4 linked regions of the Drosophila melanogaster genome follow. The protein of the gene in region 4 binds, or shares a complex with, the protein of the main gene of each other region. Each region holds a gene or a part of one and is shown on either strand. Other genes may lie near its edges. The genes, in order: Nup107, Nup153, Nup205 and Nup188.

Evidence for each region.
Region 1: Nup188 (region 4) and Nup107 share a complex: the UniProt entries of both Drosophila melanogaster proteins name them as parts of the nuclear pore complex.
Region 2: Nup188 (region 4) and Nup153 share a complex: the UniProt entries of both Drosophila melanogaster proteins name them as parts of the nuclear pore complex.
Region 3: Nup188 (region 4) and Nup205 share a complex: the UniProt entries of both Drosophila melanogaster proteins name them as parts of the nuclear pore complex.

The regions. Positions count from the first base shown.
Region 1 is NT_033779.5:10,732,793-10,737,937, forward strand, and holds Nup107 (nucleoporin 107kD), read right to left. Parts: upstream 3,280-5,145; 5' UTR 3,154-3,279; coding exon 981-3,153; intron 917-980; coding exon 552-916; 3' UTR 501-551; downstream 1-500. Other genes in the region: Dpy-30L1 (Dpy-30-like 1), read left to right, coding at 26-430; Vha16-5 (vacuolar H[+] ATPase 16kD subunit 5), read right to left, coding at 3,584-4,165; CG12299 (uncharacterized protein), read left to right, coding at 5,096-5,145. UniProt on the Drosophila melanogaster protein: Plays a role in nuclear pore complex (NPC) assembly and maintenance. Required for nuclear import of Mad. Mediates the association between the nuclear pore complex and a subset of active chromatin regions adjacent to lamin-associated domains.
Region 2 is NC_004354.4:16,597,427-16,602,262, reverse strand, and holds the start of Nup153 (nucleoporin 153kD), read right to left. Parts: upstream 3,023-4,836; 5' UTR 2,624-3,022; exon of another isoform or gene 2,540-2,623; 5' UTR 2,109-2,539; coding exon 1,950-2,108; intron 1,884-1,949; coding exon 1,368-1,883; intron 1,310-1,367; coding exon 1,065-1,309; intron 888-1,064; coding exon 1-887. Other genes in the region: CG9784 (uncharacterized protein), read left to right, coding at 4,021-4,836. UniProt on the Drosophila melanogaster protein: Component of the nuclear pore complex (NPC), a complex required for the trafficking across the nuclear envelope. Functions as a scaffolding element in the nuclear phase of the NPC.
Region 3 is NC_004354.4:19,850,498-19,858,213, reverse strand, and holds the start of Nup205 (nucleoporin 205kD), read right to left. Parts: upstream 6,001-7,716; 5' UTR 5,867-6,000; coding exon 5,645-5,866; intron 5,566-5,644; coding exon 5,242-5,565; intron 5,155-5,241; coding exon 5,053-5,154; intron 4,963-5,052; coding exon 4,400-4,962; intron 4,336-4,399; coding exon 3,835-4,335; intron 3,779-3,834; coding exon 2,227-3,778; intron 2,127-2,226; coding exon 742-2,126; intron 679-741; coding exon 1-678. Other genes in the region: pico, read left to right, coding at 7,202-7,351. UniProt on the Drosophila melanogaster protein: Plays a role in the nuclear pore complex (NPC) assembly and maintenance, but with limited role in NPC permeability. Required for specific nuclear import pathways such as Mad import.
Region 4 is NT_033778.4:12,680,160-12,687,928, forward strand, and holds the start of Nup188 (nucleoporin 188kDa), read right to left. Parts: upstream 6,021-7,769; 5' UTR 5,914-6,020; coding exon 5,888-5,913; intron 5,826-5,887; coding exon 4,588-5,825; intron 4,516-4,587; coding exon 4,406-4,515; intron 4,347-4,405; coding exon 3,382-4,346; intron 3,326-3,381; coding exon 1,255-3,325; intron 1,194-1,254; coding exon 1,039-1,193; intron 982-1,038; coding exon 768-981; intron 708-767; coding exon 1-707. Other genes in the region: CG13148 (uncharacterized protein), read left to right, coding at 6,848-6,920, 7,438-7,621, 7,680-7,769. UniProt on the Drosophila melanogaster protein: Component of the nuclear pore complex (NPC), a complex required for the trafficking across the nuclear envelope. Required for proper protein transport into the nucleus.

The sequences.
Region 1 (5,145 bases), on a different chromosome or scaffold from region 4:
TGCTGAACAAAAGGAACACATTGCCATGGAGGCCAAGACCGACGCACCCATCTCACCAGCGCCCACAACAAATCCGCCGGCAGAAGCTGGCAAGGAGCCAAATGCAAGCAGCAATGCGCAAGCAAACCCGACCGCTGCGCCGGGAGCTCCTCCATCCGGAGCCATTGCCGTTGGCCAGTCCACAAATCCAGTGGCGCAGCAGCAACAGCAGCCGGCGGTGGCCAAGAAGCCCAGTAGCGAGACAAACAACATGCCCACGCGACAGTACCTCGACCAGACGGTGGCGCCGGTTCTGCTCCACGGAATGCAGGCCCTGGCTCGCGAACGGCCCACGGATCCCATACAGTTCCTGGCCTCCTACCTACTAAAGCATAGCAACGGGTGCGACGAGAACAACGCCTCCGCCGCCGCCGTGGACAACAACTCCTAAGCCCTCCATCCTACCTACCTCCCATTTGTCCCCCTCCTTAGTTGTATAATTGAACAGTGAATAAATAATAAACGTTTAAAGTTAGAATGTAATCGCAAAACACACAAATGTACTAGGATTGCTAAGTTGTTATAGGATAGCCCCATGGATCCAGTTTCGAGTTGAGCAGCTCCAGGGAGGCGTCCGCGATCTTGGCCAGAAGCTCTGCCAGCTTGTGCTTCGTATAGACTTTGTACAACTGCCGATTCTCGCTGGATATTTCATCTGCCAGGCGCACGCAACCCGCAAAGTCTCCCGACTTGAACATCACTTCGTTCAGAAACAGGGCGATCTCAGGAATGCAGATGGAGCGCAATTTCTCCATCTGCAGTAGGCGATGATCCCAGCTCAGCTGCACGGCGTTCTCGGGCAGCTTGGCGATGAACGGATCCACCAGCCAACCCTTGTCCGGGAACATGAGCACATTGTACAGGAGTTCGATGGTTTCTGCAGGGAAAGAATGCGGGTTATATGCCAAAAGATCTCATTAATGGGTATGCGATCCACTTACGCTTGGCCTGCTCCTTAACCTTGTGCTCCCAGCGCACGACTTCCGATCGGTGAGCCTGCTCCTTGCGCTCACTCGCCATGCGCTCCGTGAAGTTGTCCTGCGAGGAAGCTGCGTGTGAAGTCTGTGGCTTCTTGGGCCTGTTCTGCTGCAGGCGGTTCCATTCGACGAAACTGTCGACGCCAGACAGATACGCCTTGTAGCAGAGATACTCCTTCAGGCAGCACTCCTCACGCGGTGGTATGTTGTCCACCGAGCCGTACAAGCTGACTAGTTGCTGCACTATGTCGGCCGGCACCATGCGGAAGGTCTGGCGCATGCACTCCACCTTGCTGCTGGCCAGATAGGTGCGTATCATGGCGTTGGCCTGCCACAGCAACTCACCGCGCTGCTCCGGCAAATGGATTAGCCACTCCAATGCTGAGATCTTGCGCTGATCGATTGCAGAGATCTCGCCGGACTGCGGCTCACCGAATTCCCCGAGTGGCTGATGTGCGAGGCGAATATTCTGCACGGTGACGCGTGTGATCTGTTCCACATCCAAGCCCGCCTGCAGGGCGGCATCCACAGCTAGCTCCCGCGGACGCTTCTGCTCCACTTGCTCCAGAAACCGCGAGTAGAGCTGAACCTGCAGCGGATTCGAAAGCGATGCAGTATAGTAGGCTATTAGCTGCGGTTCGCCCCTGGCAATCAATGCCTCCACATATGCGGCTACGATCTTCTCCGCCTGTCGCTCCTGCTCCACACGGCCGATTTGACGCAGGAAGAGCACTATGTGGGCCATAAAGCGCAATTGATGGGGCGATTGTTGGGAGGTATCCTTCTCCACCCAGCGCACCATGTGTTGGATCAGCTCGCCGCAAGTATCCAGGATTAAATGACGCTGGATAATGCCCAGTTGACTTTGGGCGAAATCCCGCACCGACGCATCCTTGGCAACGTTCAGTTCCTCGAAGATCTGCTCCATCGTCATCCTGCCGTTCCAGTAATCATCGGGCATCGGTTGGTAGTTTTTGAGGCAGCAGCCGCGTATCTCCGATTCCACACGGATGTCGATCTGCACCTTCAGATGGGCCCAGAGCAAATCGTGCCAGTTGCTGTGCAAAAGGGTTTTCAGCGAGCCCAAGTGGCCGGAGAAGACACCCGCCGTCGCGCGGCTGTACTCGTCATAGTTCTTGGAATCGGCCAGCATCCACGCGCAGCGCTTCCAGATATCCCTCCTGGGATTGCCCTCGATGGGCAGCTTTTCGTGCAGCACCGAGACATTCTGCTCGAAGTTGGGATCCTCGTGGAGACGCCAGCCCTCAAGGATCGCCGCCCGCCACGTCTGTCCGAAGTGCTTGCACAACTTGAGGCCATCGTCGACGCGTCCCGCTCGTATCAATTCGAAAATGGCGCGGGACAGGCGCAGGTTGTCCTCCTCGTCGAGGGCGTGCAACGGTCGTTTCTCGCGTACGGGAGCATCTGGATCCAGACGCGTTACGATCTTATGGCCCTTGCCAAAGGCGGCGCCCTGCAGGTTCTCCAGTTGGAAGAGCGTGTTCTCCCACGCCATCATACGATCGTGGGCGTGGAGTGGGTTTTGTTGCTCCCCCCGGTCGTAGCACGCCTCCAGCCAGTCCACCACCAGCTGGTACTCACGCAGCGTCGCATTGAGGGCGTACAACTGCTGTATGACCTCCTTCTCGCTGCCGCCGAGCGTGGGGCCATCTTGCATCTCATCATCCGCCTGCCTGTCCGTCTGCAGCAGGATGCGGTCGTAGAAGAGGGCGTGCAGCAGGCGCCACGTGTTTATCTCCTGTCGCAGCCAGGTGAGCATAGACTCGCGTTGCCGCGCGCCCTGTTCCCCACCCATGCCGTGATCGATCTCCAGCTCCAGCTGCTCCACCACGCCGCGACAGACTTGCGTCAGCGATTGGATCACCTCGAATGCCTCCTGCCCGTTACCCTGAGCCTGCAGCACGTCGAAGAACTGCGGGAAGAGCACGTCCATGCGGCTCTTGCCCCGATCCAGATCATCGCCGGTGTCCTCCATCAGCGAGAGCTCATTCTGCTCCGCGTTGCTCTTCTCGAGGATGAGCAGCGAGTGGGAGAGATTTTGCGGCGGCATCGAGCTGTTCAGCGTCGTGCGTAGCAGGCCACTGCGGCTGCTCCTCGGGAACGGGCTGTCGGCCATGGCTGCACTATGCGTTTCTTGGCTATCAGCTACGGCACATCAATTCAATTAATTTAATCAAAACAGAAATTCACGCGCTATTCGCTAAAAATGCCGGGAGCGTTCAGTGTTACCAGATGACGGAACAGCAAGAAAGCTCCCTTGCACATACACTTGTAAATAAGCGATTCTCACTGAATTCAAGCAAATTTCGTAAGAAACAAATTGATTTAAATTGTTTACATATCTAGTAATTCGGCAAAGCTGCTAAAGAATAAGGTACCAGCATTCCGTAGAATCATTAGTATGGGGTACCTCCATCGCGTACCGCAACGGCGTACCTGAAATGAGTACCACAATCGCGTAAAGAAATTCAAAAGGCATTTCAAATATTAAAGATCGATAAAAACGTTTCTTAACGAATTAAATATTTTAGATATAACAAATTCTGCTACTTAATGTTGACCGTGTACAAATAAATCCCAATGATCAGGCCGTAGAGACCGAGCACCTCGGCGAAAATAAGGATCAGGATCATGCCGATAAAGAGGCGTGGCTGCAGGGCAATGTGCCGCACGCCCACTTCGCCGACTTCACCCACTGCATATCCGGCAGCCAGTCCAGCAAATCCCACCGAAAGTCCAGCGGCCAGGTGTACATAGCCGGTGGGCAGCGAGTATTTGGGAGCAGGCGCTAGTTCCCCAGATAGGAGCACGGATACCACCAGACCGTATATGGCAATGATGCCCGCCATGACCACCGGAATGATGGACTTCATCACCAGCTCGGGACGCATCACCGCTGTGGCGGCGATTCCAGTTCCGGAAACAGCAGTTCCGTAGGCCGCTCCAGCGGAGGTCAGCACACTGGAGAATACGACGCCCATCACGCCATAGAACGGGGAGTACGGCGGATAGCGATCCAGCACGATTGGCGATATACTGGTTTCCTTCAGCTTGAGACTTTCAATCAGCCCCGGCACGTCCACCGAATTTGATCCGTTATACACTGGCAGATAGTAATCCATTTCCATTTTGGTAGCCTTTTTCGTATTTACTTGAAAAGGAACGATCCACGTTGCTTGCTTTCTGGATTTTCCAACTTGTTAGTCTGACTAGCCTGTAGTTTGGCAAGAAAGAAAATCCAAGGGGAACGAGATGAGCAGTTTATATTTAATATTAATATTATTTAAGATGTTAGGGCTCAATTCAATAATTTTAGCAACTTGTTAAGTGAAATTAAACACTAATAATAAAACTTGCTTAGATTTAGGCACTCGAAATTAAATTAAATATTATTAAATGTTTAAAACCTTCGAAAGATGTAACAATCGATTGCGGTTTGAATTTGAAGCTGCGCGGTTTATCGGTCATCATGCTGGCGACGTGCACGAAACGCTTGCATGACGATATGCTGCCGTCCAATCGTGCAAGGGCCGCCCAACATAAAACATTTTTCTTTTATTTGTTGTACGCACGGCGAAGACGCTTGCAATTGCGATTTTGGCTCTGCAGAATTGCGATTGGGCGATGCGCTGCATTCGCTCGAGTCGCAGCTCCTGGCAGTCGCAGCTAACCAGACAACGGGTCGGAGGACGGTACGCGATTCCGGCGACCCACGGAACCGAGCAGCCAAATTCAAAAACAAGCGAGCACCGAAAACAGGAAGCAAGTTATTCGCATTTCGCTGGCGGCGCATAAAATGGAACGCAGTGGACGAATGTGGACGAGAGCCCTGAGAGAAACACAAAAGCACGGAACCTGAGCAACAGCACACACCAGTGATATAATAGTAGTCTACGGAACCCCTGATCCACGGCACTTCGCATCTAATCTCACCCAAGGTACGGCATTGATTTTTCTCCCCGCAAACGCGCATTTTTATTATAGAGAAAATGTTCACACGCTCGTCGCTTGTGTTCCTTGTGATTTTTGTTGTTTGATTTGCACAGCCTTTTGGCAAGATGGCCGTGCAGCTGAAACAGAGCTACCACCACCTGCCCCTGACGATCAC
Region 2 (4,836 bases), on a different chromosome or scaffold from region 4:
GCCCGGTACCGGGTTTCTTACTGCCACCTTGGCCCACAGATGTCTCCGCAAGACTGCCGGAGTCTGAAGGTCGCATATCTACCGCTTTCATACCGTATCCAATACCACCAGTCATGGAAGCATGCAGCTGATGCGCCGGTGAGCTGCCGGCAGAATTGAGTCCCAACATTGAGGATGCGGCGGATGAGCTAAGATTGCTGCGACTGAAGAGGCGATTGTTGCCGGAATTGCCCCCGAAGGTGGTGCGTCCCTGGTAAAAGGGCGAGCTAGAGGCAGATGCAGAGCCTGAGTTAGAGGCACTGCCACTAAGCAGACGACTGTCGCTCAGTGCCGACGTACTGCCGTATATGGACGCATTGAAGCGACGTCGTTGGGTAAGGGAATTCAGCGACCACGTAGAATTCCGATGCGATTGCTGTGCGGCGGTGTTGCTTCTGTTAAATATTGACTTGGAGCTCTGCAGATTTCCGTAAAATTCTAAATTGCTGTTGCTGTTGTAATGCGACGGACGAAGTCCGTCGTGCCCTTCACCATTGTCGTGGTATTCGTTCATATCGCTCTCGGACTGCGAATCACCGCAACCTCCTGCGGCCGCAGACAGTTCACTTCGTCTTGTTTTTGTCTCAATGACATTGTTGTTGTTATTATTATTATTATTATTGTTGCTAGTATTGTTGTTGGTCCTGCTTATTCTCAGCAAATGATTGAGATGTTCTTCCGAACTCATGGCCGGGCCAGTCCCCGTCTCATCCATGGTAAGATCGCGTCGATGGGTTTGCTTGCCTATGAGCGATGGTCGCTTGTGGTTAGGAAGGCTGGATAGGCTGTTGTTGTAGCTGGTAGCGGTGCTGCTGCCTCCGAAAGGTATGTTCAGTGAACGGCGGATGCTAAAATGATTTAAATGATTGCCTTATAATTTTCACTAAGGTTTTCTTCTTTTTCGTCTTGGCAATAGCCTGGCTATGCAACGCCCAAATTTGAGTTTGTTTGAAACGAGCTCTAAGGTAGTTATCTTTTTGAATTCCATATTAACACTTTTAGTAAGCATGACTGCAGTAACATACCTGTGTGGCAGATCCCCGGTGCTTCCCTCGGCAGCTTCGTTGCCCGTGAAAAAGTTGTACGCGGGTTCGCGCTGCCGTTGACTACCATACAAATTGAGGTGATTGCGCCGATGTGGCGCAATGTGGCTGACGCCCTTGTACATCTGGGAGCTGGAGGAGCTGGTGGCAGCCGCGAGCGGAGCAGCAGGCGTGGATGACAAAAGGGGCAGACGACGCATGTTCGGCAAATTGACGGGGGTCTCCAGCTGAAAGGGATTCAAGATTAGTTGGGAAATGTAGACAGGATTGAAGATGTGATCTTACCTCCAGGCGTCGACGCTTGGTCTGCACGGCGGCGGACTGTTGGAGATTCTCCTGCTCTTCATCGTCATCCTCCTCATCGCCATCCTCGTCGTCCTCTTCCAGTTCATCCTCCTCGGCCTCATCCTCGTCACCGCCGGCAGCTGCAACAGCCCCGGCTCGCTTGCGCAGCAGGAACACATTGTACTCGCTCCGCCGCGTCTGTTCATCCTCGGCGGCCAGGTCGTGTTCGGCTATGTTGTCGGCCAGGGCCACCTCCTCATAGTTGAGGCCTTTGGCATCGGAGCCGTCATCAAGATCATCGGCTGCATCGGCATCCACTTCGGCTAGCATTATCCGACGGCGTCCTCGTTTCCGCTTGGTAGTGAGGCGTCCATTGGACTGGCGTGGCTGTGACTGGCGGAGATTAGCTGGGGAGGATAAGGCATCGTTCCCATCTTTGGACGACGGCGAAAACCAACCGCTCAAGGAGGCGGGCAGAATGCTGGACACGCGCATCTTCATCTTCCCCATGATGGACTGCAATTGCAATTGCACGGAAGTTGGATATTTGATGGGAACCAAGTTATCGTCGACTGTACTTACGTTGTTGCTGTCAGACTCCCGTAGGGCTCCCGCCGAGGATTCATCCTCTTCCTCCTCCTCCTCCTCGCTTTCTTCAGGCAGCTCCTTGAGCGGCGTCAGCGGATGCTTTTTGGCCAATTCGGCTTGCGAGGATTCCCTTTGCTCCTGTGCATCCTCCATTATGCCGCTTTAGATTCAGACTCACCTTTTTAGCCGGCGAAGCAACGGCACAAAAGAGAGATGCAAAAAAAACGCGAAAAAGAAGCGTTGCCGCACACACAACAAAAAACGTAAGTAAAAAAAAAAACCAAAAAAAAAGCACACACTGTTGCAATTCCTGCGAGCTAGTTTGTATGTGTAGGTGCGGATAATGTTCGCTCACTCGCTTCGTTCTCACTCTCTATCCTGCCTTCTCTCTCTGTCTGTGCGTGTGCAAAGGTGTGAGTGCGCTTACGCACGCCGTCGTGGTTTTTTTTGTTCGCGTTTCGCCGAGGTTTTACACACGCCGCGATATTTTTAAATAATATTCTGTTTGGCGCCACAAACTGGTCGCGTTTGATCAGGATTTGACTTCTTGGCCACCAATGAAGAGCAAATTCTGGGCACAAGCACTGCAAAATTAGAGGCGGGAAAAAGGATTGAATACCGAATTCGGGCGAAGCGCTCGAGGTTCTTGCTTTTGGCTTTGCCCTTACCGCTTTCCAGCATGCCGCCCGTTTTCTTCAATATTTGTTTTACTTTTGCCGGATAGATTTGATATATATTTGATATATTTTCACCTTCCTTTTGTCTTTGTGCTTCTTCCACTTCTTCCGCACACACTGCTTTCGCAATTCTTCGTTCCTCTTCTTCACGCTCTGCTCACACACACACGCGCGCAGCGATTCGGTACGAATTTTGGCGTTTTACCGCCGCGAAATCCACACTTTTAATTGCAATTTAACATTTGCCGCTGGTCGCATTCAGGTTTTCCATTGTTGCACGAGAACACGCACCACCGATTTGCAAGAAACAGAATTTCAAAAGAGCACGATTTGATTGGGGAAAAAACGCGTGTGTGGCCACAAAGTAGAGCTGGAACCAAAATCGATGTTTGTCAGATACTATCGGCGTGTCGGGCAGCGTGTGCTAATCGATACGTTGCCTGCAGCTATCGGTTACATGCACGTTTACGGTTTGGAAGTCTGTAATTATTAAATATTTTTAATTGGTGATGAACTGCCATACGGGCTTATTACTCAAGAACCGCTTCAAGTGCGACTTATAACATATGTAACCATTTGCTTGTGTTGTCATTTGAATACTAAGCATTTGCATTGACTAAAAGGAATTCTCGTTTGTATCTTTAAGTTGGAGTGAGGTATTTGTTTAGGTTTTTACTTGGCTGTGTGATAATGCAAAAGTTTAAATACTGTACTAATGTTAATCGATAGTTGTCCTAAAAAGAATTTCCAGCGAGTTAAAATTCAGCGAGTGCTAGAGTGACCACAGATTCTGCATTAGAAATAAAGCAAATATAATAAACGAACATAATATGAGCGCCAAATATAAAAGCCCTTATTAAGGTGCAAATATGACAAAGAAATTATACAGTATAAATGTTAAATAAATCTTAAAAAATGGGTTATAGGGGAAACCATATTGTTTTGGTTCAATTTTAGCAAGCCATTTTAAAACAACTTGAATTTACTACTAGATGAATCAAATATGTTACCTCTTAACGTCTAAGAAATTTACATTTTTAGGGCTGGAAAATAAATACCGCTAGTCGATATCGTCATCTTCTCAGTTTTGCCATCCCTAGTTGTTGTTATTGTGTTCGTCGTGTTGTTGTAGCACAGTTGTTGTTGTTGCTGCTGCTGGGCAAACAAGTGTTAAAAACTATTTGTGCTGCAATATTTTCAGCAATTACCGACCGCCCTCGCCGCTGTTCACCACCCAACTTAACCAGCAACCCAGATTGGAGCAACAAAATCCACAAAGGCATAAAGAATCGACTTACACAATAAAACCTTAATCGGTTGGGTAAACAACTTGATTGCTGTGAGCAGCCAGTTGGGTTAATCTCTTCGATTTGTCAAGTCCAGCAACAATGAGCCAAACGGAGGCTAGCAAGACACCCAAGATTCCGGACTCGGAGCCGGACGGATCGAAGGGCAAAGGGAAGCAACAGCTGGAAACTTACCGGGTATATGTGGTCACCTGGAATGTGGGCAGTCGATTTCCGGATAACATATCCCTCCGCCATCTGCTGGGACTGCAGGATGTGACGGTGGATAAGGACACGAAGGAGACTAATGCCCACTTGCCGGACATCTATGCGTTGGGGCTCCAGGAGGTCAATGCCCAGCCGCAGCAACAGGTGTTGGGACTGTTCAAGGAGGATCCGTGGACGCACAAGGCTAAGGAACTGCTACGCAACTACGACTATGTGGCCGTAAAGACCGAGCAGATGCAGGGGCTGCTGCTCAGCATGTTCGTGAGGCGGCAGCACGTTGAGCACTTGCAGGACATCGAGGCGGAGTTCACGAGGACCGGTTTCGGTGGCATTTGGGGCAACAAGGGCGCCGTCAGTGTCAGGTTCACCCTTTACGGCTGCGGACTGGCCTTTGTGGTGGCCCATCTGACTGCCCATGACCATATGATGGACGAGCGCATCGAGGACTACAAGCAGATACTGGAGAACCATCACTACCACGTCAAGCGGTATAGGGAGATCTACGATCACGACTATGTCTTCTGGTTTGGCGATCTGAACTTCCGACTGCAGGGCAGCGATTCCTCGACGGAAGTGCGCGAGTTGGTACGCGATGAGTCCCAGCACGAGGCCCTTATCCAGCGGGATCAATTGTATCAAGTTCGCGAGAAGTCGCAGCTGGCCTTTCAGGTTCTGCAGGAGCGACTGCCC
Region 3 (7,716 bases), on a different chromosome or scaffold from region 4:
TACGGCGTGGCCGAGCGCAACATGGCCTCGACCATGTCGATGTGGGCGAACAGAAAGTTAAGCACCTGCACGGCGGCGGAGTTGTTGCGCGGACCCAGCGAGTTGACAATGGCATCGCAGAGGCTCAGCGCCGGCAGGAGGATCGACCGGAAGCGGTCATCGATGGACGGGAGGAAGGTCTGCGGCTCGTTACGATTCAGTTCGCTGGACTTCAGGTCGGGCTGCTGGTCATAGACCTTCATATTCGAAAGCACGCCCAGCGCCTGCTCGGTGAGGAGGAGCCGGGCTCCCACATTGCTGTTCGCCATGCGCGTGAGGAAGGCCATGCGCGACTCGTAGACGTAGAGCGGCCTCAGGTGATCCGGCACGGGCTGCAGAATCCCGCAAAGCGCCGTACTGGACTGATCAAGGCTTTCCAGTATGTGCTTGAGGTAGCCACGCGATGCCACAAAGTCGCATAGCGTGCTCACCGCCTGCAGCTCGGAGATCATGTCCAGGCAGGCCAGCGCCAGCATGCGGCACACATCGTGGCCGGTCACCGCATCGTGGCAGATGGTGTCGATCAGCTTCTCGCCGAACGTGCCAATCACTTCCGCCGCCATGGCCTTCAGCCGCAGGCGATCGTCGCGCCGCTGCTCCTTGTTGTACGTGCGTGCACTCTCCTGGCGCGAAATCAATCTGCAATGAAATAGAATGAAAGCTACAACTGCCTGCTACTGCTGTTGAGAAGGATACACTTACGTCTCCTGGTACTCCAGATGCTCGTCGGTGCGCAGTCGCTTCGCGATCCGCAGGCAATTCAGCAGCGAACTGTACAGATTGATGCGCAGCTTCTGCGACTTCACCTCACTGATCATGATCCACTGGACGAGGTTCTTGAGAATGAATCGCAGATTGCTGCTGTTGCCACCGGAACCGATATCCCGTCCACCTCCACTGCCGCCATCCGAACCAGTTCCGATTGCCCTCTGGCCCAGACACAATGCGTTCACCTGCGAATCGTTGCCGATGGCGTTGCCATTGCCATTGCTGAGCGAATCCTCGGCGGCCAGATCCTCGGGGCTCTGGTCCTCGGCCTGGTAGCAGCAGTAGCGCAAATTGGCAAGCAGCAGCAGCACCGTCTCGCTCACCTGTACGGATATCTCGATGATGGGCTGTATGGGCTGCACCTTGATGAGTACCTTCTCGACGATATCGATGATGTGCTGGCGACGCTGCGTCGCCGGAAGCACGGCATCGGGCATGTTGCTAAAGAGCACCTGCACCAGTTGACCCCATGCTGCCATGAAGGCCAGCGTGGCGCAGCGCTGTGTCCGCACGCGATTTATGTTGACGGCGTGATTGAGCAGCAGCATGATTTCCGTGGAAATGGCCTTCCGCTGGCCGCTGGCAATGATGCTCTGCACCATGTACAGCTCGTCGGTGAGAATGTAGTACAGTTTGCGCACGTTGATCAAGTTGGCCCTGGAATTGGCGCCAGCTTCGGCGGATGCCTCGCAGTCGCGCAGCAGTTGAGTGATCAGATGCCCGTCGAAGAACTCCAGCTGCGGCTGGCTCAACGTGCCCGCCTCCAGGACGAGAATATCTAGCAGTCGGGTGACATGCAGTCCCTGCGATGTCTCCTGCAGCAGCGATGGCTTAAGTGATTTGACCCCAGTGTTTGGAGCTCCGAGAGACGCCGAACCAGCCCCATGTGCCACGGCACTTATCGATCCACCGGCCGGTAGCACATCCATGGCGAGGAAAGACGACGACGGCTGTGAAATCAGGCTGTGGCCCAATTCCATCGACAGGCCATGGGATGAACGCTCCATTCCGTTTCCAATTAGCAAAATGTCGCACATCTGGTTGAAGCGCGTCATCTGGCCATGTTTGGCCGCCAGTTTGACATCGATAGAGACGCAGTTGAGCAGGTGGCCCATGGCGTGCAGCACATGATCCTCGCGATGCTGCCGGAAGGGCAGCGAGCGTAGGTGACGCAGCAGGAAGTCGCTGCACGTTAGCCGGAAGTAGCGCAGTATCGTCTCCGCGGTGCGGCGATTGGCGCAGAGTCCATGGAACAGATGGTAAATGCGCTCCACGATTCTCGCCGTGTGCTCGCAGTACTTATCGCTGTGACGCTGTTTCTGCAATATCAGAGATTGATTTGATTGTTAAAAGTTGGTAAGTTAGTTAGTTAGTTAGTTAGTTAGAATAGATAGTAATGGCCAATGGCTTTCAACTCACATCCATGTACTTTTCCAGCAACAGCACTACGGAGTTCACGCACGAGCTTTGCATCTCGATGGCCAGGTGCTGCCGTCCGTTGGCCATAAATTCGCGCAGCACATCCACGCCGAGCAGGAAGTACACAAAGTTGGGCAACTGCTGGCTAAGATTCATCTCGAACAGCTTGATAATGGCCTCTTTCAGTTGCAGCTCAATGCTAGCCGGTTTGCTCTCCAGCGCGCCATCCCCCGCCTGCAGCTCCAGTTGCGATTCAATAGTTGAATATTCGCGTTCCCCGCTCATCTCTCGCTCATTGTCCAGATCATCGCCGAATCCCAGATACGGAACGTGATTGTTGAGGGCCAGTTGGTCCAACAAATCGTCGTCGTGCTTGCCCACGCACACCTCCATTTCCAGGCACTCGACGAAACCCTGACGAATCTCGAGCTTCTCATTGCTGCCCTGACCGTACATGCTGAGAATCTGGGTGGAGACATTCGGCAGCTGGGTGACCGAAGCCAGAATCTTAATGGCGGCCAGGGCGTGCCGCGGCAGCCAGCTATTATAGGTTACATACTTAATGATATTCAGCACGTGATCGGGCTTGCGACTGCGTGGATTCAGATCCAGGAGCATGCGATTCAGGCCCGACAGCAAAATGGGGCAATTGGCCGCCGAGTGGGCCTCAAAGAAGGCGTTCTGTTTCGCCAATGCGGCTTCCAGGATCAGCAGTGCGTACAATGAGCACTCCTCGAGTAGCTTCTTGCCCTGAAAGCGATTGTAGTTGTCCAGCCGCTCACGCACCTCCTCCACAATGCACAGCAGCAGCTGCAACATTTCGGACTTCAGCTGCAGCTGCATCATAACGTGAAAGCCCGGATAGGGAGGTTCATCGACTGTCTCCAGAAAATCCATTGCGGACGGCCGATAGGTGGCCAGTAGGTAGTAGAGCAGTTTCAGGCACTGGGCGCCAACTTGCCACTTCTCGGAGGGAACCTTGTACGCGCGATTGTAAAACTTGAGCAACACCGAATTTATCATGGACTTTAGATAGCCTTCGTAGGCCGGTGTCCGTTGCCCGGCGCCCAAACTCTTCGGCAGATTGGTGGTCATCAGTGTGTAGAGCAATTGGAGGATGCCGCGCGTCAGGTTATACTGCTCCGAACGGCTCTCGATTTGTTCCATCTCCTCCAACAAACTGCACTGGGCATAGCTTCTAGACACGGGCACAGTGGGTATAATCTGCGAGGCCTCCAGGTGGAACCAGATGACGCGCGCCGTCTCCTTCGATTTGGCCAGGGCAGCCAGCGTGTGCAGAATCTCCGCCTTCAAAAAAAGCGGCGTGGCGCACGCAACCAGGCCCAGGAGCACCTGCGGCGTCTGCCAATTGGGATGGTCACAGATCATGATGCGCGAGACCTCGTCGTGTTCCGCCACCGCCTGTATGATGCCCATTACGGCCACCAGATGCTCCGCCTCTCGCTGCGTAATGGCCTTTGGTGTCGATCGGGTGCGGTAAATGGTCTCGCCGCTCATGCCGATGTTGGTGTTAAAGTCGTTGCGCATCGAACTAGAAGATAGTGATCTTCAGAGAGATCTTCAATACCAGATTTGAGTCACACTTACGTATAGTAGTTGCCCAGGGTGGTGAAGAAGTGATCCCAGCTAACCGCATACTTGCCGCCGGTGGCCATCTGGGGCACCCTAAGCATGTTGAAGGCGCATCGAGCCGAGAAATCGGTCCGTGTAAGTCCGGATATCATCTTGAGGTAGGCCTTGAACAGCGTCTGTGGCAGCAGGTCGCTGGCCAAGCTAATGAACTTGAACAGCGACACCGAGCGCGAGGTGTTCTTGAATGCCGTAGAGCCGTTGGGATCGCCGGGGCCCCAGTACTCGTTGCACAGCCTGATGGTGACGCGCGGATCGCCGTGCATCTTGGCCACGCACAGCATGAGCAGCTCAAAGTTGGAGTCCAAGTTGGGCGGCGGTTCCAGACCCTCGTTTAGGAAGCTGATGATCGTGTGTGACGACTCGTCTGCTCGGCCGCGCAGCTCCGACACCTTGGAGTTCATGAAGTCGATGAAGTCCGTGATGAGCAGATGGACGCGGCGGTAGAAGAACTGCGTGCTGTCAGCACAAATGATGATTAGCTTGCGAATCGGCAATTGACACTTCAGTTGTCAGTACTCACCTATAGACCAGATCCTTCTCGAGCAGCAAGCTGTGGAAGAAGACGAATACCTGCGCTCCCAGTGCCTCGTCGATGAGCATCTCATCGCGATTGATGATCGAGATGGCGGTGGCCTGAAGCTGCAAAGGTGCATGCCGCAGGCTGGCCAGCGTTAGTCCGAAGCTGTAGGCAATGATGGCATTCAGGCGCGGTGCTTGCCAGCTGCTCTGCGCGTACAGCTCCTCCAGGAAGCACTCGGCGAACTCGCGATCGCTGAAGATCGGAAGTCGGGTTGTGTGCTCATTGGGTTCCTCGGTGACCAGCAGCATGGAGGTATCGTACGCATACAGCAGAGCCATCAGCATGATCAGGGTCACGTCGTCCATGTTGCCGCCCGCGTCGTGGTTCTTTCGGTTGGCCAATTGGTGCATCAGCCGAATGGCAATGTGTCGCGGCAGGCCGCGTTGTGCCGACCAATTGAACAGGGCCATTGCCAATGCCTGTTGAATGTCCTCGTATAGGCCGAGCACCTGGTTCTGATGCTTCTTGGAGCCAAACGCGCGGTTTGTGGTCAGCATAGCGCACTGCGAACGTTGGACAACAAATGAATAACAATTTGCGAAGGAAGATATGCAATTTCAGAGAATTTCAGAAACAGGCGCATACAAACCCACCTCCTTGTCGACATCCATCTCCTCGAGCAGCTGCAGCAGGCGTCCCAGTATCCCAGAGCCGTCGACAAGGCTCTCGGCATAGTTAGTGACCAGACCGGTGATCTGCGTGCGTAGAACGATAATCAGGGTCAGTGAATCTCTCTTTCAGCGGCACTGCGATGCCTGCGATGTCGAAATCTCGAAACTTACCTCCTTGGGCAGTTCGGTGTTCCACGAGACGCCGCTAACCACCTGGAACATGTCGCGAAGCGTGCAGCTGATGGCCTTTCGTCCATCGTAGTAGAGCAGCACCGCGACAAGGCCTCTGGACAGGCCGGGATGATGCTTCTGCTGGCGCTGTGCGGTGCACAGCAGCTCCACGGCGAAACCCTCGTCCAGATCGAACATGTCGGACAGAATGACCGCCTCGTCGGCCAGGTCCTGTGACATCTTTGTCTTTCGCGAATGCCCCTGCATCGGGACGCCTTCGTTGAGGGCATTTCGTAGGAGATTGCGGCTCTTCTCGCTTCTCGGCTGCCGACATTTTCAATAATGGATTATCAATAATTAGTTAAATCTACGGATCTGCAAGCGCTTGTTTTGCTATACCCACCGGATTGCGCAGCAAGTTGCTGAAGTTGTGCTTGTACTTCTTGAGGCACTGCTCCAGATCCGAGGTGAAGCCACTGCGATTGGACACCGCGGTCTGAAAAGTGTTGTACAAATGCTTGTACGGCGTCCACATGTCCTCGATTACAGCTGTGGACGCATGGGTGGCATTAGTGATTTGGCGACCCACGCACATCTGCTCGTTGGCCAGGCACTCACCATCCATTTCACTTGGTTTTGCGGTTCGCTCAGTTCACGCAGTTCTTGCTGATTCGCAGTTATTGACTATAAAACGCGGCAAGATTGCTTCGCTTTGCGACAAGGCGCCGGTTACCAGGGCTGGGTGCTGCAAATACTGGAAAACACAGATGTTCACCACCGTACGAACTCACCACGCTCGTACGCGCTTCGGTGCTTGTGCCCGCTAACTGCGGTTGCTGCGCTGGCTAAACGGTTGATTCGAACCAAGTCAATCGGAAAATCGATGCTTATCGAACGATAATCGAGGCGCTGCATCGGTGCGTTGTCGCACCACTAACTAACACAACTTCAGTGCGGCGCGGGCGGGGCGTTTTCGTGAAAATCTACGCACGGACTTTTCGTAGTTACCCGATAGTAGCATCCATTTGTTTTGTTCCGATTCGCGTTTTTTTTTTTTTCTGTTCTCCGCCACTTGATTTGGCCAGCGAACGCACTGCCCAAGTGGTGTCCTGTTCGCATTGTGAGTGAATCACCGATGGCCGCGGGCAGGCTGAACTGCACCATAGTGGGATGCTGGTTCTGGCTGTCGATGCAAGTGGATGTGGAAGTGGATGTAGAAGTGTAAATGCAAATGCAATCGGCGCAGTTCGGCTGCAATAAATGCCAAAAGGGATACTAACTGCCAAAGCCAGTGCAATTGGAAGGAAAATTCAAATTTCATTGGGAATTATTCGAATTGGAATTGAATTTGTAACTGGAGTTGGAGTTCAGAGTACTTGGTACTGGGTGTGCGAGAGCGACAGAGAGGAAGAGAGGCAGTGCAAGTGTGTGGGGGTAGCAGTCACACAGGCACACACGAACATACTCACAACTCCAGTGCATAAAACTCCAAACTGCGTTCGCCTCTCTCTTTTCGTTTCGCTTGCTCTCTCCCCTACGTTCGCCCACGCAACGCCTGGCGAGCGAGAGAGAGAGCGGTATAGAAGAGCAAGGGAGCCAGAGCGAGAGAGCAAGGAAGTGGTTTTTCCACCGAAAATATGGACAAAGGCAAACTGCAGAGTTAGCTGAAAATAAAAAAAAATAAAAAAAAGGAACAAGACACAAACAGTGACTGAAATAGCGGTTAACAGCGCTCCCTTACGGCGAATCGTTGAAATTCAAGACGGAGAGCTATCGCATTTCTTCAATTATGTCTGTTTCGCTTTTCATTCCGCTGCAGTAAGCGATCGCGCGAAGGAGCAGCAATACAGAGAGCGAGATTTGGAGAGAGAGAGAGAGAGATAGAGAGTGCGCTCCCAATTGACGACTCCACTCCACTCCCACACACACTTAACCCCGCCCCCTCGCACCCGTAATTACTATGGATTGTGGTGGTATTGCGGCACATCAGCAACAACAACTACAACAGCAACAACTGCACTTACTCCAGCAACAGCTACAACAACAACACCACCAGCAGCAGCGGCAACAACAACAGCACAGCCTCGAGGAAGCAGCAACAATAACAAATGTAAGTATCTCCCAAGTTTCTCCAAATGTGTGTGTGCGTTTGTGTTGCTCGACCATTTCCTCTGTACTTCATAATTCGCTCCCACACACAAAAAAAAAAGAAGTCATAGGACAGAGTACACAGGAAGAAACTGAACTATACCTTTAAAGTACAGCTTCTTCAAATTATAGTAAGAACGGTGCAAATGGTAGACTCACATATGGTTGGTAATTGTATTAACTATAATTCTCTATTAGTGTTTTTTTTTTCGAGTGTATTCAGTATACTTTACTCCTTGGCTATGAAAATAACCTAGTTATGCAGTGCTAGGTGATCAAAAGACTTCAAATTCGGTACTCCAAAGTTGAGACTGCCCAACTAGTATC
Region 4 (7,769 bases):
TATTGCAGTTCGATGGCGGCCAGTTCGTCCTCCAAGAACGCGTCGCCCGCCTGTTGAGCGGGATACAAACGCTTTCGGCCATCCAAGCTCGTCGTCATGGCTGCACCTTGAGCTGCCGCAATGGGACTCAGATCGCTGCTCATGTCAAAGTTTTGCGGTGGAGGAGTTCGCTGCTGTTGCTGCAGATGCAGTCTGCGTACGACATTAACTCGCAGTTCGTTATTTGTGTTGCTGCGGCGCACAATTTCTGAGCTGCGGGAAGAACTGCTTGAACTCCTCACTGGGTCCACGCACTTCAGCTTACAGAGCCCGTGTTTTCGTCGTAGCCAGGGACTACGGTTCTCTTTGTAGTCTAATATCACCTTGCGGCGCACGAACTCGTTGAAGATTAACAACTCGTTGCTGATGTCCCGACGCACGATTTGCTTCCAGAGCGTTTCGAGGTTCGGTGAGCGAATTATACAGATGGCTTGCGAAGCGACCAGCATGAGCAGATGCTCCAATGCAAGCAAACAAAGCTGGCCGTCCATGTTGGAGAGCAGCTCACTGGCTGGACAGGTTCCGGTTGAAATCGAGACATTGGACAGAGGCTTGGAGAAGGTGCGGTTGGTTTGGTTGCCTACACAAACTTCTGGATCATCGTTGTCCCCGGAATGCTCAACGTTGGGCAGTGAGTTTAATGGCACCTCACTGAAGCCATGATTTTGCTGATGTTTTGAAAATAATTAGAACAGAATGGACACACTTATAATGCCACATATACATACCATATTCAAGGCCTTTACGTATATGTTTACCAAGTTGAGGACGATTCCAAATGTGAGCGTTAAGTTCTCTTCGTTCAACTTAGGTGCACCAAACTTAACGTCTAGTAAGATTGAGTGTTTGGAGGGCTCATATGCACTGCAGCACAGTAGTTCCATTAAATCCGGACTAAATCTAAGCAAGGCTTTAACGCAAGAAATTATTATATCCGTGAGGCTGTTATAAAATGGAAATATTTAGTCTAGTATAACAACATTATTCAAGTTAACTTACTCATTGCAGGCGGAGATAAGTTCATCGTCAACGATTAGAGCCTCTGTGCTGCGCAGAATTTCTAGCTGGGAGCGTCGACCAGCCAGAAGACACTTTAAGTTTTTTTGCTGGTGAAACAAAGATGAGGTGTGGCACAGCAAACTCTGAACTGCACGCTGTGGATTTCAGTTAAGCGATTAAAATATTATTTAGTTGAACAACTAAAACAGAACCCACCATTAGGTTAGCAAGCGACAGATCGCTGTCTTGCTTCCACTCTTTGTGGTGCTCCGTCAAACTGGCGACTAAGTTAACAGCAGCCTTGATTAAGTACATGGCTGACGGTTCCAAGGATTGTTTGCTCAATAACAATGCATCCTCCAGGAAAACAGCATGAATGCCCACAAATTGAAAAGCATCTTCAAGAAAGCACTTCTTGTGCTTCTCGTAAATGATGGTAACAAGCTCAATACCTCTGGCGTATACAGGCCACCACTGCTCTACGGTCCAACCTTCTGCATCCGCAGCCGTCGTCTTAGTAAACTCGTGTTTTGACTGCAAAAGTTCTCTGGGAGGCAACAGTTTCAGCCACAAGTATTCTCCCACATCGCAATGCAGAAACTCAACTGAACAGTGGCCCTTGGCAAATACAATGAGCACATCCAGCAGCTGCACACTTAGAACTTGTTTGCTAAACAATGGAAGGGTTCTAGACACACAGCGCACGAGCCGTTGAAACAAACGCACCGACACAAATGGCAGATCCCAGTTTCCGGGACCGTCGTTGTGGAATATGGTAGCGACAGCCTTTAGCAAATTCAGGCAGAGAATAAGTGAGTTGGTGGATGTCTTGCTGTCTGAACTGTCCGAATTATTGAGGCCCTGCGATTTCTCCAGGCTCACCGAGTTCTCCATGTGCTGCAGTTCGCTGCAAATGATGCCTACGACTGAGTTGAGAAAACGCAAGGCTATGGACGAGTCCCTGATTAGCAGGTCTGTGTATAGATGTGTGCACTTGGTCACAATGGCCAGGCATGCCTCTTTGGCCCTTACGTGCTGATCCTCATAGCACGCACAGATGCGGTTCATCAGTTGCAACAGTAGGTCCATTAGTGTCTGTTCCTCCTCTAAACTGTCTGTGTACGCGTGCTTAAATTCCAGTAAGATGAATACATACAGTTCAGCCAGTATGATGAACGGCCGCATGTCCTCCAAATAATTTGAGCGATCAACCAGGACAACCAGACACTTCTGCGCCATTAGCTTAAACTGCGACTCGGGTATGGTCACGAACTTTGGCTGTTTCTTTAGCAAAATTACAATAAGATCCTTAAAAGCCTGCAGGCAACAGATCCAGTCGGGCAAATGGTCGGAAGAACTCAAATTTTTTACAGCCGGAACCTTGGGCATGTTAAAGACGTAATTAAGCCAAGGTCCAAAGTTCTTCTGTTCAAAGAACTTATTCATGACGTCAAGCAAAGCGGCATTGTTTCCATTTCCCGTATAGACTTCAATGGATATAATATTTAGAAGCTGAGTGTAGATTCGTAAATTTGGCTGTAGCTCGGAAAAGAGCGGCGAACAGAGTTTTTTCCAAAACTGTTTATCCTTCACTAGATCATCCACTAGCATTTGCAGATTATGTTTCCACATTGAGTGGAAGATGGTCATGATCTTAGCGGGCAAGGCCTGTTGAATGGTTAATGGATCCACTTGAAGGGCGTCCAGAAAGTCTCTCATATAAGTGACAATACTCTCGCCAATATTGGGAACACAATCCTTACTGAAAAATGACCGGGAACGTTTATCAAGGGCATAGTTAACCTTGAAAAATGCCTCGGTAACACCCGGTTGCTTGGCAATGCATGCGTCCACCAGCTCAAGGATGGCTATCTTTATGGAATCACTTTCTAGCTCATCAGGCAACTTCTGCATAAACGTCAATCGGATTTGATCAGCCTCCATGTCCAGACAGGCCAAGAGAGACATATTGAACTGGAGAGCGATTCTTTTCAGCAGGCGGCAAGACAGAATCGGTAGCCATCTATCAAATATGTTGCTCATGTAACTGCATACTGTAGGTATGATCCGCAGAGTATCACGCTGTTTGGGTTGTGTGTATATCAACGCCTCCAGCGGGGAAAGGGTCTCACTGTTTCCATATACCTCTTCTTTAAGGCGCAGTAACTGCATCAGGATACGCATGGATAGACGGACTAACATCATTAAGCCGTGAGGTTGCTGCTGCATCCAATTTGTCTCTAGCTCCATGGTGTACTGGACATAAGCATTGCCCACACCAACAAATCTAAAATATACATTTTATTTAAATTTATTCTTGGTTGGAGTTACGGTAGCTCTTACCTCAAAAGAATCAGACCATTTTCCAAATTTAGAAGGGAATAGACGCACACCTTTACCAAAAGTTCGCGTTGCTTGCAATTAGATTCTTTAGCAGTGTTAAACAAGTCCAGGATGTCGCATATAAAGCTAAGAATCTCGAAGTAGATCTTGTTTCTCTCCACTTGAGAGCTAAAGTGCCAGGTGTGCAAGTGCGGGAAAACATCCTTTAACAGGAATATAAGGCCGGGAATCTCCATCTGGATTTGGCGATTCCGTTTCAGGTTGGAGTACGCTCGCAGGAACCCAATGTATGAAAGCAAGAATTCGTAGCGCTCCCTTTTCTTCTCCACATTATCAATGACGGAGCCTAAAAAGCGCGACTCAAAGCCCACTCCATTGGCATTGGCATACATCTTGAAGTCGTAGTGAGATCCCGGGCTTACTGTTGGCAAGATGTGTAGGTTGCTTATCCGCGAAAAGATTTCCTCGTCTACCAACGGCAGCAGCGCAGTGCAAACATTGAGACAGCTAGACAAAAGTCCAACCGGTGGGTATTGAACGCTTTTGAACGTGTGCAGCAGATCAACGCACATCTCGGTAGGATGCACCATTTCGGCGCTGATGCCGGATATCGATTGACTGAGCTTAACGGCACTTTCCAAAAATCTTAAACCAGCTTCTACATTGCGTATGCGTTCGCTCGATTCAAAGTCACCATGCAGGTGACCCGTCTCGCGTAGCAGGCAGTTAATTTCGTGGTGCAGCGCGTCAAAGTAGTTTACCGGGAAACGAAAGTGCATAAAGCAGCCGGACGGATGTTGGATGGCTGTGCAACTAGTTCCTGCGGGTATGGTAAAATCAATTTGCTGAAATGGTTGCACGCTGGCCAGGAGCTCGAATTCATTTGTGTCCACTTCTCTGAGTTTGTGCTGACTTTCGTCGTAACGAAGAGCCAATATGGGCAAAGCCTCTAGTTGGCTCTTGACCTGCAAGATTGTTAAAATAATTTTAACTGATGCCTTTGAGTGTACAAGTATTGGCTTACATAGTTGCCTTGTCCCGCTTTTGTCAGTGACAGTGCCAGTTTGGACAGATGTGTTAATTCTAGAGGGAAGTTCTCTAAAAGAGTTTTGTACAGCGAACACGGACCATCATCTAGATAAATGTAAAGTTGTTCGTTCTAAACTAATTTTTTCGGTTAAGCTCTTTTGATTATATGATACTGACCTTCCCGACTGCAAAAGTCTTTAGCTAAGTGTGGCCATGAGACAAGTTCGCAGAGCAATTCGTAAATGCCCTCATACCGAGCGCAGCTGCCATCGCCGTCGAAGAGGTCGCACAGATATCCAACCTGGTTGTATATGGTTCTTCGCACAATCCGTGACAGCATAGAGTCATCGGCGTACATAGAATGTCTGGCAATTAGGTGCAGTTGGACAAAACACTTAAGATCCACGGCTCGCTTGCCCAGCTGCCGACAGCGGAGCAAGCTGGAGGCATCGTCGGCATCGTTGGTGCCTCGCAAGCGAAGCAGCATCCACGCTAGGAGCAAAGGGCCATGCTCTGGTCTGTGGTACATGCTGGCAATATCAACCTGCAGATCCTCTATAAGCTTTTCAATTAGATCGGAATGCTTCTCGGGCTTCTCAAAGTCGAGGCACTTTAAAACTAACATTAGCTCTGAGTAAGAAAGGCTTCGAATAATCTCCTGATGGTAAGGTTGGCTGTCATCCAGATAACTTTGCATCTTTCCAAAGGAGTGTTGCTTGCAGGCGGCAAATATTCTCTTTATCTGCTCCAACCCCATGGGCAGGTGTTCCGCTAGCACCAGAAGGATGTGCAGCACCTCGTTGATCTCACGAGCATTTCGCTCCGACCAGGCAACTAAGCGTTCCGCAGAGTGGAAGCATTCTCCCGCCATTAGCTTTCTGGGTGGGACTTCGCAAATAAGGCTCTCCAGTTGGTCTAGGTATGAATCTCTAAGGCGGGGGATGGTTATCTTTTCGACCACGGCGCGATACTCCCGGTGATAGGGATGATTCGGTACCTGGTGAAAGACGATAAGATTCTTAACAATCTTGAGGACAACCATGCGTTCCAGGGAGTAGTAATGCCGTATGTCTTCGTGCAGTTTGGCCATATTCGTTTCGGTAGAGATTAGTTGGGTAAGGAGACTCGCCGATCCACGGTACTCCTGCGTAAGGTAGTAGCAAAGGATTTCCCAGCACTGGGCGGATTCTAGATCCAACAGATCCTGCAGTCGTTCGGTGAAGGGCAGCAGCTTTTCCTGCTTTTTCTCTTTGAGCAACGTGCCCAGCTCGAGGCTGGAGGCATTCTTGGGCTTAAATTGGAGCACTCCAGCCTGCAATTCAGAAGCCACGTTCATCAGCTCCTCACGTACAGTATCCTGCGGCGTCTCATAGTGGATTCCTGAGACCATCGGCCACAGGCGCTTCCAATCGGTGCTACATGGCAAATCGAAGGATTTTATTTAGTCATTCAATATTGTCGCACTGCCGATACTCACATCACGCTCTTTTCCACCGCAGGCATTGTCTAGGCTCTGTCTCTTAACAACTACAATAAAAAATTATTTAATAACAAATGTATTCTGTTCCACGCGCAAATTCGCGGCGTTGGAGTTGCCACCTAGCACAATAAAATGCCGGGACAATCAGCTGGTAACACCGAAGGTGTATCGATAAAACGATAGTTCTTGTTTTAAAAAGCCAGTTAGAAAATTGTGATACAGTACTTTATACATTTTCTTTAGCTTACTAAATCTTACTTAAATCAAGGTATGACATCTTAGATCTGATGATCGCTTATAGATTTATACAAATAAAATATACATGGAAAGCACGTGTGCGCCCCATTATTTATCTATTATTGTAGCATTACAGTTAAATTGGTATATATTTCACGCGAATAGGTTTAGAAACCTATTTTATAGGTTTCAAATATAGACGTTCGCATGTGGCCCTTCAATCATAACTTGACACATGCATTTAGCATTCAGATCTTGATATTTCCCAAATATTTCATAAATAGCCTTCCAATCCAGCCGGACTAGAACTATTTAGGTTAGACTTTCCAATCACATAAAGCCATTCCAGTGAGGCTGTGGCTGCGGCTAACAGACCTGCGAAGTCAGAGTGCAAAGTGCGCAGATGCTGCACTCCGGCGCCCACTGCACCGCCCAGCCACCCAACCACGCCATTCTAGAGGCCCATTTCTTGGAAACTAATACCACTACTCCTCGGCTAGCCGCAGCCTCCCATCTTTTCCAGATCTAAGAGCGAGCGAGAGAGGAGCGGAGAAGGCGCGAGAGAGTAGGCGCACTCGAAGTTCACGTTCACGGCGCCTGGAAGCTGCAGCCCGAAAATTGTCCTGTTAGTACGAGAAAACTATTGACAGGCGAAAGGTCTAAAATTGCTCATATTCTGGCAGAAAAGGCAGATTGGACTTCAAAAGTCTGATAGCCGCAATGGCTCAAGTTCAGCTCAACGCAGGAAATGGGCAAGCCCCTAGCAACGGAAATAATGTCGAGGATAATGAACGTAAGTCTGCCGATTGGCAATTGTGAAATCATAATAGAAAATTGAGTGATTGCCCGGAAAGTGCACAAGTGTTGGTCTGCACAGTCCTAGTGGAAGGACATATGTGCATACCTACGCACATAGTGTGTGTCATGTATCAGGATATATGTAGGTATATATGTATGTATCATAAAGGTGTATGTCAGCAGCAGCTAGCATCTTTGACATAGCTAGGATGCTTTTTGGCCTGGCGTTGGGTGATAACTTAAACGGGAGAGCGAGCATGAGAGCAGGATAACAAAGAGAGAGAAATGTCTGAAAGGATGCTGCGAGAGCGCCAGAGATGCCACTGCTGCCCAAAAGCAACAAGTTTTTGAACTTAAGCTAAATCAGATAAGGCTAGAACTACCTCGATTTCGTTAGTTAATTTCGTAGTGTATAAAGGGGTATCAAATATAATTATTATAATCTGTAAGCTTTTATATTATTCAAAACAAGGACAATAATTAAAGGTAACTTATTTCTTTTATTTCCATAGCCTATCAAATAAGTGACGATGATTTGGATGACCTGGATGATGATTGCTTGCTCGAGGAGGCAGATACCTCAGGGGCAGGCAATAATGTGGGACGTGGTCCTTACGAGCGTGCTTGGACCACAGAGGCCACCAGGGCATTGATTCACATACGCGGTCCCATGGAGGGTAGCTTTACAGAGGGCAGGTGAGCAAGGTTTTTATTCCACCGTAAAGACATCTTTGTAAAAGTAACTCCCTTACAGACAAAAACGGACTGCTCTTTGGCTGCACTGCACCCGGCAACTACAGCGACTGGGATTTCGCTACTCCGCCGCAAAGGTGCAGAAGAAGTG